2 linked regions of the Neodiprion lecontei genome follow. The protein of the gene in region 2 interacts with the protein of the main gene of each other region in a pairwise test. Links are inferred from orthologs where the notes say so. Each region holds a gene or a part of one and is shown on either strand. Other genes may lie near its edges. The genes, in order: GPN-loop GTPase 2 and GPN-loop GTPase 1.

The links.
Region 1: the proteins of GPN-loop GTPase 1 (region 2) and GPN-loop GTPase 2 interact in binary tests that used the Homo sapiens proteins (3 or more experiments, as listed by UniProt). The link is inferred for Neodiprion lecontei from reciprocal best matches to the Homo sapiens genes GPN1 and GPN2.

What each region holds. Positions count from the first base shown.
Region 1 is NC_060265.1:18,519,681-18,526,100, forward strand, and holds GPN-loop GTPase 2, read right to left. Parts: upstream 4,447-6,420; 5' UTR 3,908-4,446; intron 3,817-3,907; 5' UTR 3,718-3,816; intron 3,665-3,717; 5' UTR 3,426-3,664; coding exon 3,305-3,425; intron 2,872-3,304; coding exon 2,666-2,871; intron 2,432-2,665; coding exon 2,317-2,431; intron 1,728-2,316; coding exon 1,532-1,727; intron 1,390-1,531; coding exon 1,152-1,389; 3' UTR 661-1,151; downstream 1-660. Other genes in the region: arginase, hepatic, read left to right, coding at 27-149, 256-491; phosphomevalonate kinase, read left to right, coding at 4,738-4,877, 5,154-5,359, 6,242-6,391. UniProt on the Homo sapiens protein: Small GTPase required for proper localization of RNA polymerase II and III (RNAPII and RNAPIII). May act at an RNAP assembly step prior to nuclear import.
Region 2 is NC_060262.1:18,440,976-18,448,789, reverse strand, and holds GPN-loop GTPase 1, read right to left. Parts: upstream 6,086-7,814; 5' UTR 6,028-6,085; coding exon 5,949-6,027; exon of another isoform or gene 5,715-5,948; intron 5,627-5,714; exon of another isoform or gene 5,537-5,626; intron 3,892-5,536; exon of another isoform or gene 3,792-3,891; intron 3,729-3,791; exon of another isoform or gene 3,631-3,728; intron 3,531-3,630; exon of another isoform or gene 3,415-3,530; intron 3,106-3,414; coding exon 2,830-3,105; intron 2,044-2,829; coding exon 1,679-2,043; intron 1,554-1,678; coding exon 1,324-1,553; intron 923-1,323; coding exon 574-922; 3' UTR 444-573; downstream 1-443. Other genes in the region: GPN-loop GTPase 3, read left to right, coding at 1-95; ATP-dependent RNA helicase DDX24, read left to right, coding at 6,245-6,442, 6,842-7,490. UniProt on the Homo sapiens protein: Small GTPase required for proper nuclear import of RNA polymerase II (RNAPII). May act at an RNAP assembly step prior to nuclear import.

The sequences.
Region 1 (6,420 bases), on a different chromosome or scaffold from region 2:
TAAAGTAACTTGTCTGATATTTTCAGGTATACATGACGTTGTACATATGGCATTATCTAAAGTAGATCCAGAAAATAACAAATCTTTACATGTCAGCTTTGATATTGACTCACTCGATCCTTTGGAAGCTCCAAGCACTGGAACCCCAGGTAGTAAAAGACATATTATATGAACAAAATGAGTGTTTGATGAAACCATGAATTTTGTGAGTATTGATAAATGGTACATGTTAGTTTGCGATTATTTTCTTGACAGTTCGAGGGGGTCTTACTTTGAGAGAAGGGATTCACTTGATGGAAGAAATCTATAATACAGGTCGACTAAATGCTGTAGATTTAGTGGAGGTCAATCCACACATTGGTACCGAACGTGACGTTAAAAAAACAGTCGAAGCTGCAATTCAAATTATTCAAGCAGCCTTTGGATATAACAGGCGTGGACTCAAAGTTCCTAAAGGAATTGATGACATACCATTGCAAACGTTCAAGTAATCAATCAGTATGTCGTTCATAACTGTGTCATCAATAATACTACTTTGTCAAATAACTATGTCAGATTATCAGGTGAACAAAGTTGTTCTCACAGTATCATAAACGCTTCAACGTTGTTGTAAATAACTGATTGGTAGTAAACCTGAACGTCGAGCATTTCAATGATTTGTGTAATGACAGCCCTTTCTTGATTCAAGATCAATGTGTTAAAAGATATTTCCATTTTCCAGCTGGTATGTGTTAATTAATGGCGCATCAACATTTAGTCCATATCTTTTCAAGTTTTTACGAATGCATGCAAGCACTAACTTTTAAAAACGTTCATTCTCTAGTAGGTTGATAAGTCTTATTATATACGAAACTGCAGAATCGGAAAATAAATTAAAACTTTTCTTCAGGTGATTCCTTTCACAGGTTTTATTAACTATTCCATACATTCAAATATAAAAAAGTGAATGATACATCTTCAATTTTATTATACATTTGATACTATTTCATAAGCAAATAACAAATGAGAATTTACTTAACTGAATTTTATTATCGTTTATATCTAAAATTCGTATATCTTAAAAGCCATTCCAGTAGAATATCTGATTACTAGTTTGTTATACCAAAATATATTCTAATTGGTTGTAAATTAATACGTTCAGGAGATCAATCTTATAGATAATTATCAATTGTAGACATTTTTTCAGTTTCACTAATGGCACCAACAGCACATGCGAGTAATGTTTGAACGTCTTTTGGTTCATTGCCACCAAAAATGTAACCGTTTGCTTTATCTACTGCATTCTTTACTTGCAATAGAAGAGACTGATTGGAGGTATCTAATGGTATAAAACTCACTAAGCTGTAATCTTCAACCAGTGAAACCAAAGCGGCATTCAATTTTTTATACCTGCAAATTAATTATACTATTAACCACAGATCTTTTAAATACTTGCATCTGCGAAAAAGATAAAGTCTATGTTTTTAGATATGTTTACATAAATAAAATGATCTGAACACCCATCACCATGTAATCACAAATGAATAATTACTTTGAAGTGAAGGGATCTTCATTGAGCTTTTCCAAAAGATATTGTAAATCAAGAACTTCCGTATAAAATTCAAAATTAAATGCCAAGCGATCACTGAATTTCTTCATTTCATCTATCTTCGTCAAAACATTAATGTGGGGTAATCCTAGATGTAGCATTGTGCTGGTACAGAGCATTAAGGATGACAAATATTTTCCTGTAATAACAACAAAACAATTATAAATCTTTGACTAAATAATCCTGTATTGATAAGTAAGTCAGTCGAAAAGTTTTGCAAAATGAACGTACTATTAACAGTTTCTCGAAGTAATTTGCCCGACACTGCATACATTTCTCCATTCGCCGTATCCAGTAACTAAACCAGCCCATCCACTTTTCTTTCGGAATATCGGTAGATATTCTGTCACGCTCGGCAAAAAGCTCAGTATTACTGGGAAAATGCATTACTTCTAGCTGTCGAATTCTGGGAATAGGGCAGCCACAGGGACCTGGGTTACGACTATTAGGAGGGTGATCCAGAAGAGTTAGTCAAGCCTGAGTAAATAGGCTCCTTTGCTCTATGTTCTGGAGTGTGCTCACAATGTAGGAGCTAAGTTTCAAGGCGAGAACTATGACTCAGATTTTGAAGCCTGTCAATCACCTGAGACAAACGTACTCTTTCGTTACTTTTCCATGTAAAAATTTTTGCATATTTTCTCTCTGTACCAGGGCATGGTATCACCAAGACCACGACGTGCACAAATTGCAAAACTTTGCGAGTGACCTGAGTAATAAAAAATACTCACCTGGATCACTACAATGATGTGAATCAATTAGCTGTACGCAACACAGTCTAACAAGATTTTGTTCCAATCTCTCTGCTATGCGACTAATTGATTTGTGATGGGTGTACAGCTCTACCTTAAATTTCGAATTATTATATTACATTGAATATATTGTACAGATATTACGTGTCAAAATAAATGAATATGTACATAATTTCTTTAAATATCCCATTTCACAAATAAGACACATAAAGACATAAATATTGCTTTCTCGTGAAAAAGAATGAGTATTTAGAAAATGAAATATTGACGTTATGCTATAATTTTGAGGAGTAGAACTTCATTTAAAAAACGTTTAACATCAACGTACTTGGCCAGGGCAATCGATGATCAAGTAGTAACCTTTGAGATTGAGAATTTTTTCAATCAACCAATTCACATTCGCTTCTAAAAACTCCATGCAGTAAATCAAGGCACCGTTTGGTCCTAGTCTGTAAGTCGTCATTACTTCGTCGTGCTTAATCAGCTCCGAAATGTCTACCAATGGGACATACTTCATGTTTTCATTCGCTGGATCTAAGTGCAGTCACAAAGAACAAAAAATAATATAACTATGCAATCTTTAAATTTTTGAATATTGTATTCTCTTAGAGATTTGAATAACTGGTAGGAATGCACAAATTTTTTTAAAGATCGTACCAGTAAACAACAATATCAAAACTTTTTTTGAACTGCTTGTGATAATGAAATGCTCATTTGTTCATTATAATAACAAATTATTTCTGTTCGTATAACAAAGAAAAAGAACCAAAATATTAAAAACTGATATAATCTCATACTCTGATTTAAACTTCTTTGAAATTTTATCCAATGTAAGAATTAAAGAGAATGAGCATAATTTATGAAACACAGGTAGAATAGATAAACAATTCTGTGGCAATTTCAAGGATTTAAAGATGTGCTTGGGAGCTTCTGGAATGACTAGTCAATAATGTAACCCAACGCTCACCAATGTTAATAACAGCAACTGTTCTACCCAGTTTCGTCAAAAACTTTGACATTGCATCGCAGAAAGTAGTTTTCCCACTACCAGGTGGGCCAATTACTAATTGTCCAAATATCGAGGTCATTGTGTTATAAATGAGCAATCGATGAATGAAGATTCTTCAATTTATAAGAAGAATCACAAAGACTATCAAAGACTATATTTTCCTGATAGCAGCCACTATATGTTTCACAGTTTGTACTCCATAATCCTTTAAGCAAATTGATATTAGCAATGGCTTTTCTGTAGCTATTTGCTCAGCAATGTACCGAGCTGCTGCGTGTATTTGATCATCATCCTTGCCCAATAAGGTTCTGCAAAAAACTTTCTCTGTATATCCAGTAATACTAATCACTAGCAGTGACTTAAATACATACTTTATTGTGTAAACATCGCTCTTGGCAGCTTCTTCTTTGGTCACAGTCAGTATGGAACCAAATTTTTCAAACTGAGTAAGAATCAAGAACATACGATTCCTGAAAATTTTTTTTTTTAAATAATTTATATTGTTTTGGGGTTAAAATACACTTGAACGTTACTGTCCACCATCTCTGGCGAATTCTCTACCTGTAGTTTTTTATTACGATATCGGTGTGTACCCCATTGATCACGACCCCCGTAGATTTGTCTTCACTCGCATACGTTAAATTCGGACTCGCCGCAGCCGCTCCGGCTTCTAGGTTAACTTCGGTATCAACTAGAGACATGTTATTGACGCATTCTGATTGGAGATAAGTCTATTCGTACCACAGACAAATTAACAAAATTCCTCGTTGAGTTCACAGTACTCATCTGAGTAAGAACCTTCGATTGAACGTAGCCTGCTTTACATTAAGCCCATCAATAAGCCCAATACGCTACAATCCACTGAATTACAATCACAAATACAGGCAGGGTAGCACTAGGTAGAACCCATGAGGGACAATTTCGATAGAAATTCCACTCATCCTTTTGTTCGCATTATCGCCGTAGACTATGGGACTGAAGATATCTAAAGATGTTCAGCCTCGGGCTCAATTCTGTAATTTCACTTTTCACATTTTCCACCATTCAAGCATTCTGATTAGTTTGCAAAGTTTAGTCAAGTGAAATTACATAATCGTCCCCCTGCAGTATCGACCCATCCTATGGAATCATAATTTTAAATCGCGTCGGTATAGCAAAATACTGCAACCCCTCGCCGGCTTTCAGCTCGCATTAGCATGCCCATACCTGCGAAGCAAAGTTCATAAAGTTAGCAGTCTTTATCCTTATCGCTCTTTCTCGTATTGGGACGTTTAAAAATACAAGTTAGTCCCGTCTATTGCGAACTACCGTCGACGTCATACTGAGACTGAAATACTGACAACCTGATTGCGATGATTGAAAATCTGCTATAAGCTCTATACCAATTACAAATGGCAGCTGCAGATAGTCGTGACTGCGCAGATGCTAGCGGAGATTCAATATTTCTTTCAGTGAAACCTCGTCGTATTTTACTGTTCAGTGGAAAAAGAAAGTCCGGCAAGGATTACATTACTGACATTTTACAGCAAAGGTAATATACGTCTATCAATATAACGTGATGTAACAGGATTCACGTACGCACATGCATGACTCGACGTGATGATGTCAAATTTAACAATTGTCAGGTTATAGCGTAAAACCATAAACATCAACACAGATCGTACGTATTAATTTCTATTCGCCTATAAATTGTGCATCCGTACCAGGTTATTATTCATTTTCTTTGATCATATTTACACATTCTAATTTTACTTACTTTCTCGTATTTCTTTTGAAAAAAAAAATTGCAATTTACTCTACTCCACAGATTAAACCATTTGCCGTGCGTGACGATAAAGATTTCTGGACCTATAAAAATTCATTGGGCCAAAAGTTTGAACCTAGATTTCAAAGAATTACTTGGAGATGGAGAATACAAAGAGAAATACAGGGGACAGATGATTGCATGGGGTGAAAATATGAGGAACAAAGATATTGGCTACTTTTGTCGTGCTGCTATCGATATGTATAATGGTAATATCACCTTACCATTCTTTCACAAATCACATATTCTATAACTTTGCTGTTTGTAAAACAAAAATAAATTATTGTGTAACACGGAGGTAAATTCGATCTTTTCGGGCCAAGCGCAAGTTTCCATTATGAGTTGTAGGTGAGTACTCATTCGAGCCAAAGACAAATATTGAAAATATGCGAGGTGAAATGACAATTGCCTCCTTGTTACACACAAGTTTTTATGTAACAAGAATATGTTACATGGTTTTTCACGAAGCACAACATTGAGGTTAGGGTCGCATAATGTCAGATTTGTTTGCAAGAGCGCATATGCGCAGTAAAAAAACGACTGCCTTTAACTCCTGAGAAAACTGCGAGGAGTCAAAATTAGTCTTTTCTGTACTTTGCACATGCGCATTTGCTAACCCACTTTACCGTCATAGAAACAGGTATTTCGTGTACGAATAATGCGTATCGAAATCTTGTTGCAACTCCTTTGATACTTCGATTTTTTAAACCTATAAAGTGTATGTAAAATACCTTTTTCCCAATCAGTGTGAGAAAGAAAACCTTCAGATGATTTTCAGAATTACAGTTTTTTTCAGGTAACTTTTTGCACAATCAGTGATGTGACAGAGCATGGCTGAACTTTCTATATCTTTTAAATTATCTTGTTACATTCAACTGATTCTGAAATCACACTTTCCTTCATAGGTGTTGCTCGAAATAGTATGTATGCGCGAGTAGGCTATGTTAGACTCGTGTTATTAGAACGTCGCCTTGGCTCATGCTGTGTTTACGGCAATACTCCATGGAAATCACCTAGTTTCCGCATTTATAACACGATGTATTATTTTATAATTGATGTTGTTTCATGTAGTGATATATTCTTTTTTTCAGCTTGTAATATACCCATATGGATAGTCAGTGACATAAGACGGAAAACTGATATTCAATGGTTCGTTGAAAATTTTGGCAGCGCTTGTAAAACTGTAAGAATTATTGCTGATGATGAAATCAGGACAAAACGAGGATGGATCTTCACGCCAGGTCAGTGAATATGATAATAAATTTCTCGT
Region 2 (7,814 bases):
TAAGGCTGACTATTGATAATATCATCCAATATGGTGAGGAAGCTGATGTCAAAATGAAGGACTTCGACGAGCCAGAGCAAGATGATGGTGATTAACATAAACCATCCAATCCATCATGTAAATAAAACTATTTTTTTCAAATAATAAATTGTCTTTACACGTCAGTACCATGTGTTTCATTCGCTACAACGATGTGTCAAGTGAAGAGCTTCCCTCACGATTTTTGGCTTCTCAAACTGAACACATGTCAGTTGTTGTTTTCTGTAGTCTTGAAGCTTATTTCAGTGCAGTCTACTCTGTCAAAGCAAATGTTCAATACAAACCACTGCATCATTTTACAGGCTGTTTACGACTATAACCTAGTTATGTATACTTGTTTAAAATTATTACCGTCAATTTTAAAGTTGTTTTAGGTATTTTAGAATGGATTTCCATCAACCAAATTGATAGGTATTAAAGTTTATTTTTGTACAAAGATTTTCATGGTACAAGGGCCATAAACATTTGGTATCAATGAATTTTATGATCAACCAACTTTATTCTCGAATGGTGTATTCTATGCTGAGAAATATGTCAGCCTCCTTTGCTGGTACTCGGTTCACTTTTTTGGGACTTCGCTCGTCTGTCCTGTTCGGCTTTTTGTTTTGCAAGAAAAGTTTTAAAAGATTCTGCCTCTTTTCGTTCATCCTCGTCCACTCCTGGATCTCCAGAATTCTCTTCGCCTTCTTCATCATCGCTAGACTCGTTGGCTGGGTGTTTCAGATAGATATCTGCTATCTCACGGCCAACATTAACTGTACTGACCAATGGAACAACATCGCCGGAACCTTCCGCAGCTGCCTTTTTCAATTGTGCTTTCCTTGCTTCTTCCTGTGCTTTTGCATTCTCCACGCGGATTCTCTCCCAATCTTTCTTATAGTCTCTGGAACATTCGTTAAATAGTATAGAAAGTATACAATAAACGAAATACTTATGAAGGTGTAGTTCGTAATTTTAATGGCTAAATTCTCTTTCCTACACATCCATTACGTGAACGTTTCCAATTTCAATCTCATAAATATTTCTCAACAATTTTGATAATCTTATCAATCAGAAGTTGAATGGTACCCGTTGAAATATAAAGTAGGGTAATGTTAGTTTCGTGTTCAGAATATCTTTTAAACGAATTAAGTGAAATATTGGCTTAAATAACGTTGCAAATGAGTGAAATATTACATTATAGCCAAGTTTTAATGCAAAGGATGAATAGTCGAGAATTTTCTCACTTTTCTGTCAAAAGCCGTGAATTTTTGAGAATTTTTAAACATTTCAGTACAAAATTACGTTTCATATTCTTTGGCCGCTTCTTCAATCAGCTTGAAGAAGCGGGGAACTCCATCCCCGGTCAATGCCGAGACACCACAACTGCGCAGGTGACAATAGAATTCGTCAAGTGCTAGTGCCAAACTGCGTGTCAAGTTACTTATGTAGCTAGTCTCTGATTCCAAGGCTTCTTGGAACGATTCAAAATCTTGCATCCAATCCACTGCATAGCTGTGCTCAACAACATCTATCTGTAACCATAAAATCTCAAATGAAATCTACTAATCGAGTGTTGATGAAGTGTACATGCATTGAAAACTGCAAAATTTGTACTAATCAACGATTACTTGAATTATTTGTATTTTTCTCAATTTACCTTATTCATTGCTATAACGAATGGAAGTCTGGTCTTGTAAAGAATAGAACATGCATATAGCATATTCGACATAAAGGTAACTGGGCTGACGCTCCTCACAGTATCCATGACATAGACAATCACAGTTGGAAATTCAGAAGCCAATGCCTCAGTGATGATCGTGCCGCTGGCTGACCAAGTGAAAACCTCTATTTGACCAGGAGTATCCAATATAACAAATTCGTGTTCTTCTCCTGCCTTTTCAATCAGTTTTATCACCTGGTCAAATTTTGTTGAGAATAAATTCAGTGCCGTAACAATACCACCGTTTGGGCCCAACCCATACTGCTTCATGACCTCCTTGTAGTTGACCGTGTCTCTAATGTCTGAAAAAATGGTTGACTTATCGAGCAACTATTGAACATCTTAAGACGGCCGCAGACACATAATGATGGTCGCCGATCCATCCCCTATCTTGCTTCATACAACCCTAACGGCTCATGAGAACCAACTCTATCACATATGGCGAGTGTTCGTAGTGATTATTATTAATATTATTATTATATTATTCTTGTCCCGAATTGTTGCATTTATCTTTATTAAAAAGTTTATTGAGGAGATATATACAAGTAGATGGCTAGAATTTTGGGAATTTATATCTCAACAACCAATTATGCAATTTGATTAAGATTCGTTTCATTCAAATGTCTGCAGATTAAGTTCCATCAACGTTTTCTCTATTAAAATCAGACAATAGGAAAGATTGTTATTCACATTAGGATAAACCGTTTTGCTCAGTGACACGTTTTTCAGTGCCCATGATGTCGCAGAAACAGCTCGACTGATTTGTATCAAATGAGGATAGATTATTCTTGGATAATTTATCCTCTTTGCCACGACTCTACTTTTCTTTTGAAAATTTTCATGTTTTTTTGTTAATTGAGTTAAAAAAAAAGGTTTAAATTTAGCACGAAAAATCAAATTTCTTGTCATGATATTAAGAATTCTGAGTTTTACAGTTTTTATAGGATTTTATAAGCATTGGAACTTTCTTTCACAACTTCCAGGCATGGTATGAAACATAGGATTTTCACAAAATTCAATATATATCACAATTTCAAAATTACCATGGAATTGTACAGCAAACTCAATGTAACTAGAACTGAGCTCACCTATATTGGCTGGGTAAGGGACTTCGGAACAAGCCGGATCCAGATTGATAACATATGGTTTACCAGTGTTATACAAAGTGGACGTGATTTTTTTGACAAAAGTTGTTTTTCCTGAACCAGCCATTCCAAGGACGACTATACAAGTTGGCTTTCGCCTTGCACCTGGAATTGGCTGAGTGGTTGACGCATTTTTAACATCAATTTCCATGTCATCATTGCCATCTCCTTGTTTTTCACTTTCGGTTACAGTGTCAGTCTTGAACATATTGGCTAATTCTAAAACAAAAAATGGTAAAAGTCATCACAGAAATCGTATCTAAAACCACAGATAATTTTTCGCAAATCTGCAATTCCACACTCAATTAAAGTAAAATGCGATTGAAGCTTAACGACGTTAAATTTCACTGTGTTATTGAAAATTTCCAGGTGTACATTTGGAAATCCACTTCAAATTCCCATAGGTTTGGAGACATCGGACACAATCTTATCGTGATTTGAAATAGATTTCAAATGATTCCTTCAGGTGATCTAGAATCTTTTAGAATGCCAGATAAGATTCCCATGGCTAAAGAAATTTAAAGCTACCTAGACAAGCTTAAATTGTAGGAAAATGCTAGTCCAATTTCGAGCTTTGGAGGTTGGACATAATAAAAGAATCAGAGGTTAGGATTTTTTTGCGTTGAATTTTTTACGATTAATTTGTCAAGAGGTTCTTACAATCCAACGCATTATTATTGGCTACTTGTATCTCGACGTTTTACACCGACAAATAACACGTTATTAATCAAACCTAATACGTACAAAAGGAGTTATTGTAAATATTGACGAGACTCGAAAGATACCGGTACGTCCTCAATCAAAAATTGTGTAACTCAGGCCTGGAAAGCTAAGAGTCCTCACTGAAATGTATAATATATCAGTGCTTTTATGTATTTTTAGGAAATTATCTATTAAGTCTCTACCTGTTATTTTCTTCGAATTCGACAAGCGTGTCAATTGGGAAACTGTTGTTCAACTCTAGATATAGGTATCTTATTCTAGGTGGTCTTCGGATACGCTATCTAGTGACCAAATTCAACATCTGACCGTGAGCGCGTAGCTCGAATTGCTAACAGCTGACTATGTATTTGTTTATGTGGAAATGTTAATATTATTTTTTAGTTTTTCGATTAATAATTAAGATTTAAAAAGTGAATAGTCGATCCAAGTCATTGTTTTGATTATGGAATTCCCTGCGCGAAAAAATAAAAGTAACGTGTATTGCTGTGTGTTTGATTGTCAATGTAAAGCTTATGGTGATGAAAAAATCAAGTTTTTCCATCTTCCACATCCCAATAAAGATTTCGTCGATAGAATCAACAACTTTGGTGATAAATACAAAAGCGATAGTCGCGTAGCTTGGACCAGTGTTGAGAATTGGAAAAAGTGTAATGACCAGTATAAGATCTTTTCACTCCATTTTAACAAAGACAATTTTTACCATCATGTAATAGCTGTTGGTTCGACTCATTCTTAACTTAAGAAAATAAGTGTTCCTTCTCAAAATATTCCTCCAGGATCAACTACAAAATATACTCGTCATGTAAATTCTAGAGAAGAAAGAATACGTAGGAGATCACTTATAAACAAGGTACTGACAGCTGAAGGTACTGAAGAATTGAGTCTTGATAAAAAAAAAAGGAGAGGACATTTTATTTCAATTATTTTTATAGATTTAAAATCATCGAATACAATAGCATCAGGTGAGCAACCGAGCTAAGGATTATTGTGTGCAATAATAAGACTGCATTCAACAACTTTGAACTGTGTGGAATTTTCATAAAGCTCACATGCTGTGGGTTCATTTTAAACCATGTCTAGTATAAGTATTACTTATCACAGTTGGATAAAAATACTTTAATGATTTGTACTACCAATCGAGTTCTTATTTTTACTATAAGTAAATAATCTATAGCTTGGATCACTTCCTGTAATTCTAAATTGTCTTTCTTTCTCCCAACAGAATAAAATTCAGTAGTTGAGCAACTCCATTTAATATTGTTCGACTATTTTCTTACAGCAGTTCTGAAGAGGATTAACATCAATTTTTTCTAGTTTATCGAGAAAGACTGAGGACTTTTGATTACTAAAAACAGCTAGAATTCTTCCTGAACAAATGATAGCACTATTGTTATTGCTTGAAACTTGGATATACTCATGTCTTGTAATTCTGTAAATAAAACAGAAAGAGAGAAAAGAATATTATAAAATAAAAACACAACATCATTGAAATTGTGAAATAATTTATTAATAATAATTTCATAATTAGATTTGACAAAAAAGCGTAATGTTTTTAAAAATCAATTTATGTAGCAGTTTAATACTCTTTCATAAAACATGATTATTTGTAAAACATGCAATCAGGCTTTGAAAAAATATGTAATGCAAATAATAGGAATTTGTAATAGTGATATATGTGTAAAAAAATCAGGTCAAAAATTGATGATAAAAATGTAAAAATAAAATGTCAGCGTAAAATTTACACGTGTAAAGCTAGAGCAAAAAATTGTACTTCTTGCTTTTCAGACAGCTGTAAATTTTCATTAAAATCCATCGATTCAGTGTTGTTAACATCTCCAGCTTAAATTTCTTTTGTTCCCTTATATTTTAAGCATGGAAATTTTTTTTTTCGCCGATAAAAGACACTCATGTTCATGTAATGGCTTGCCTTCTATTTTTCTAATGAAGATTCATGAAGCCAATCCATACACATTTTTTATGAGTGCAAGTAATCATTGGCAAGCTCTTCAAATCATTGCTGTAAAAATAAAAATCGATTTTAATAAATTAATTGTTGGAAAAATAAAATAACTGTTATAGGTTATGAATGTGACAAAATATCTTACCGGTTGCAATGGAGTAATACTGCGACGTGTTTACGAATGACCTGCCTTATAAGAAGAACTCATTCCAATTATTCGACCGTCGTTTATTATTTGACCAGTTATTTCATAGGGATTATTTTTAATATAATGAATAATTAATGTTTGTAAACAAAAAGCTAAAACACTTATAACATTGCAACCACTGATTGGTACTTGTCCACATTTTATCACGTGTCCAGCATTTAAAACCCTCACCTCCAATGAAGTTTTTATTGCTTGGCTTTGTGCAAGCAAATTCACAAATTTCTTGTAGACAAAATTTCATTTTATACATTAATTAAAATTACAAAAACAAAATCACCCGATACTGCGTTATGTACAGCATAACTTACTAACTCTAGTGCATATTTTCACCGCTTGGTTCAATTTTATAGTTAGGTAGTTAGGTTATATAATATAGTTATACTTCCCTGTCATCTGACTCGCTTCGAATTCAATGCTCGCACGTGTTCGTCGTGATATGCGCGTTTCTTTCCTCGCAAATCGAGGTTATGTTTAGTCGAAACAAACAAGCAATGGGGAAAATCAAAAAGGATAAATCTAAGACGTGGAAACCGTTAAAATTGGAGGGTGCCTTTTTTGCTGAAGGTATTGACGGCCTGATCGGAATTGAAGAATTGACGGATTACAGTCTCGAAAAAGGAACCAAAAAACGAAAAGCAACTCGCTCCGATGACAAATTAGACAAGGTAAATGGTTTCCTGCATATTGAAATAATTTTAAATATCTCTAATACTATACCTTTCACCGAACAATGGTCTCAATATTATGTACAAGCACACGAAATAAATATCAAGATAACTCTGGTACGATAGAGCAGCACTTCTTCTTTCGAGAGTTAAATCACTACCGATAACAGATGATACATATTAAGGATATTGAAGGGATTGAGAAATTTGTAAAACTTACAGTATCTGGACAATATTAACGAACTTTCGCAGTGCATGAAAGGAAAATCTGCTTACAGCATAGTTTTAGTTGATTGATTTATGACGTGTAGTCAGTAACATTACAGAGAATAACCAATAGCTCTGCCAATTTTCTTTAATATTAATAACAAGAAAATTGAATCATATTTAACAAACAAGGGTAACAAGAAGAAAAAGGCTCAGAAACTCGATGACCAGATTGACAATGACGAGGAAGACGAGCATTCAGCTCAAAAGAAAAAACTTAGAGCAGCTGTGAAAGGAGAGAAAGTGAAGCCGAAGAAGAAGAAGCAAAAATTCGACGATAAACGTGGTATAAAGCAATCTGATCTAATTGAAGAAGAGTCTGGTATTGGATCCGATAGCGAATCTAATTTGGATAAAAACGGGCATGAGGTTGACGCAGAGGATGGATGTCTGATCAATCTGGACAATCTAAAATCAGATATAAACGTACATTCATGGACTTCGCTGGGTGTACCTGAAATATTGGTAAAAGCATTGGCTGACCAAGGTTTTCAAGCTCCGACACCAATTCAGGCTCTGACCTTGGCTCCAGCAATTTTGGGAAGGAGAGATATTTTAGGTGCCGCTGAAACAGGAAGTGGAAAAACTTTGGCTTTTGGTTTACCAATTTTAAATGGTATTCTGGAGGCTCAGAGGAAAGAGGCAGATAAAGTGAATGAAAGCAATAATTCAACTGAAACAGGTGATCAGGACTGGAACAAATTAGGTGAATCAGAAAATGAAGATGACGAAGATATACTCTCTATGGATGAATTGTCAAATGAAGAATATTCAGATTCTGGTTTGTAATTATCTCTGATTGTCTATGTCAATAGAGTTATGCATTTTCATTGTTACAAAGTGTTTGACTTGAAATCGTTTGTATGCATTGACAAAATCAGTGAATCTAAGATCAATGGCTTATTTTGAAATGACGAGGAACTTGCTTGGATCGAGAAACTTCGTCGAATATCATACTTCAATTTTTCGAAATTGTTGCACATGTAGCAATAATGCCATTGGTTTATTGGCTACCCAGAATCAATTTCACTTGAATAACACGAGAGACATTTTTAAATAGAAATTAGGGACTATATATTCCAACTAGAAAACTGTTATTTGCGAT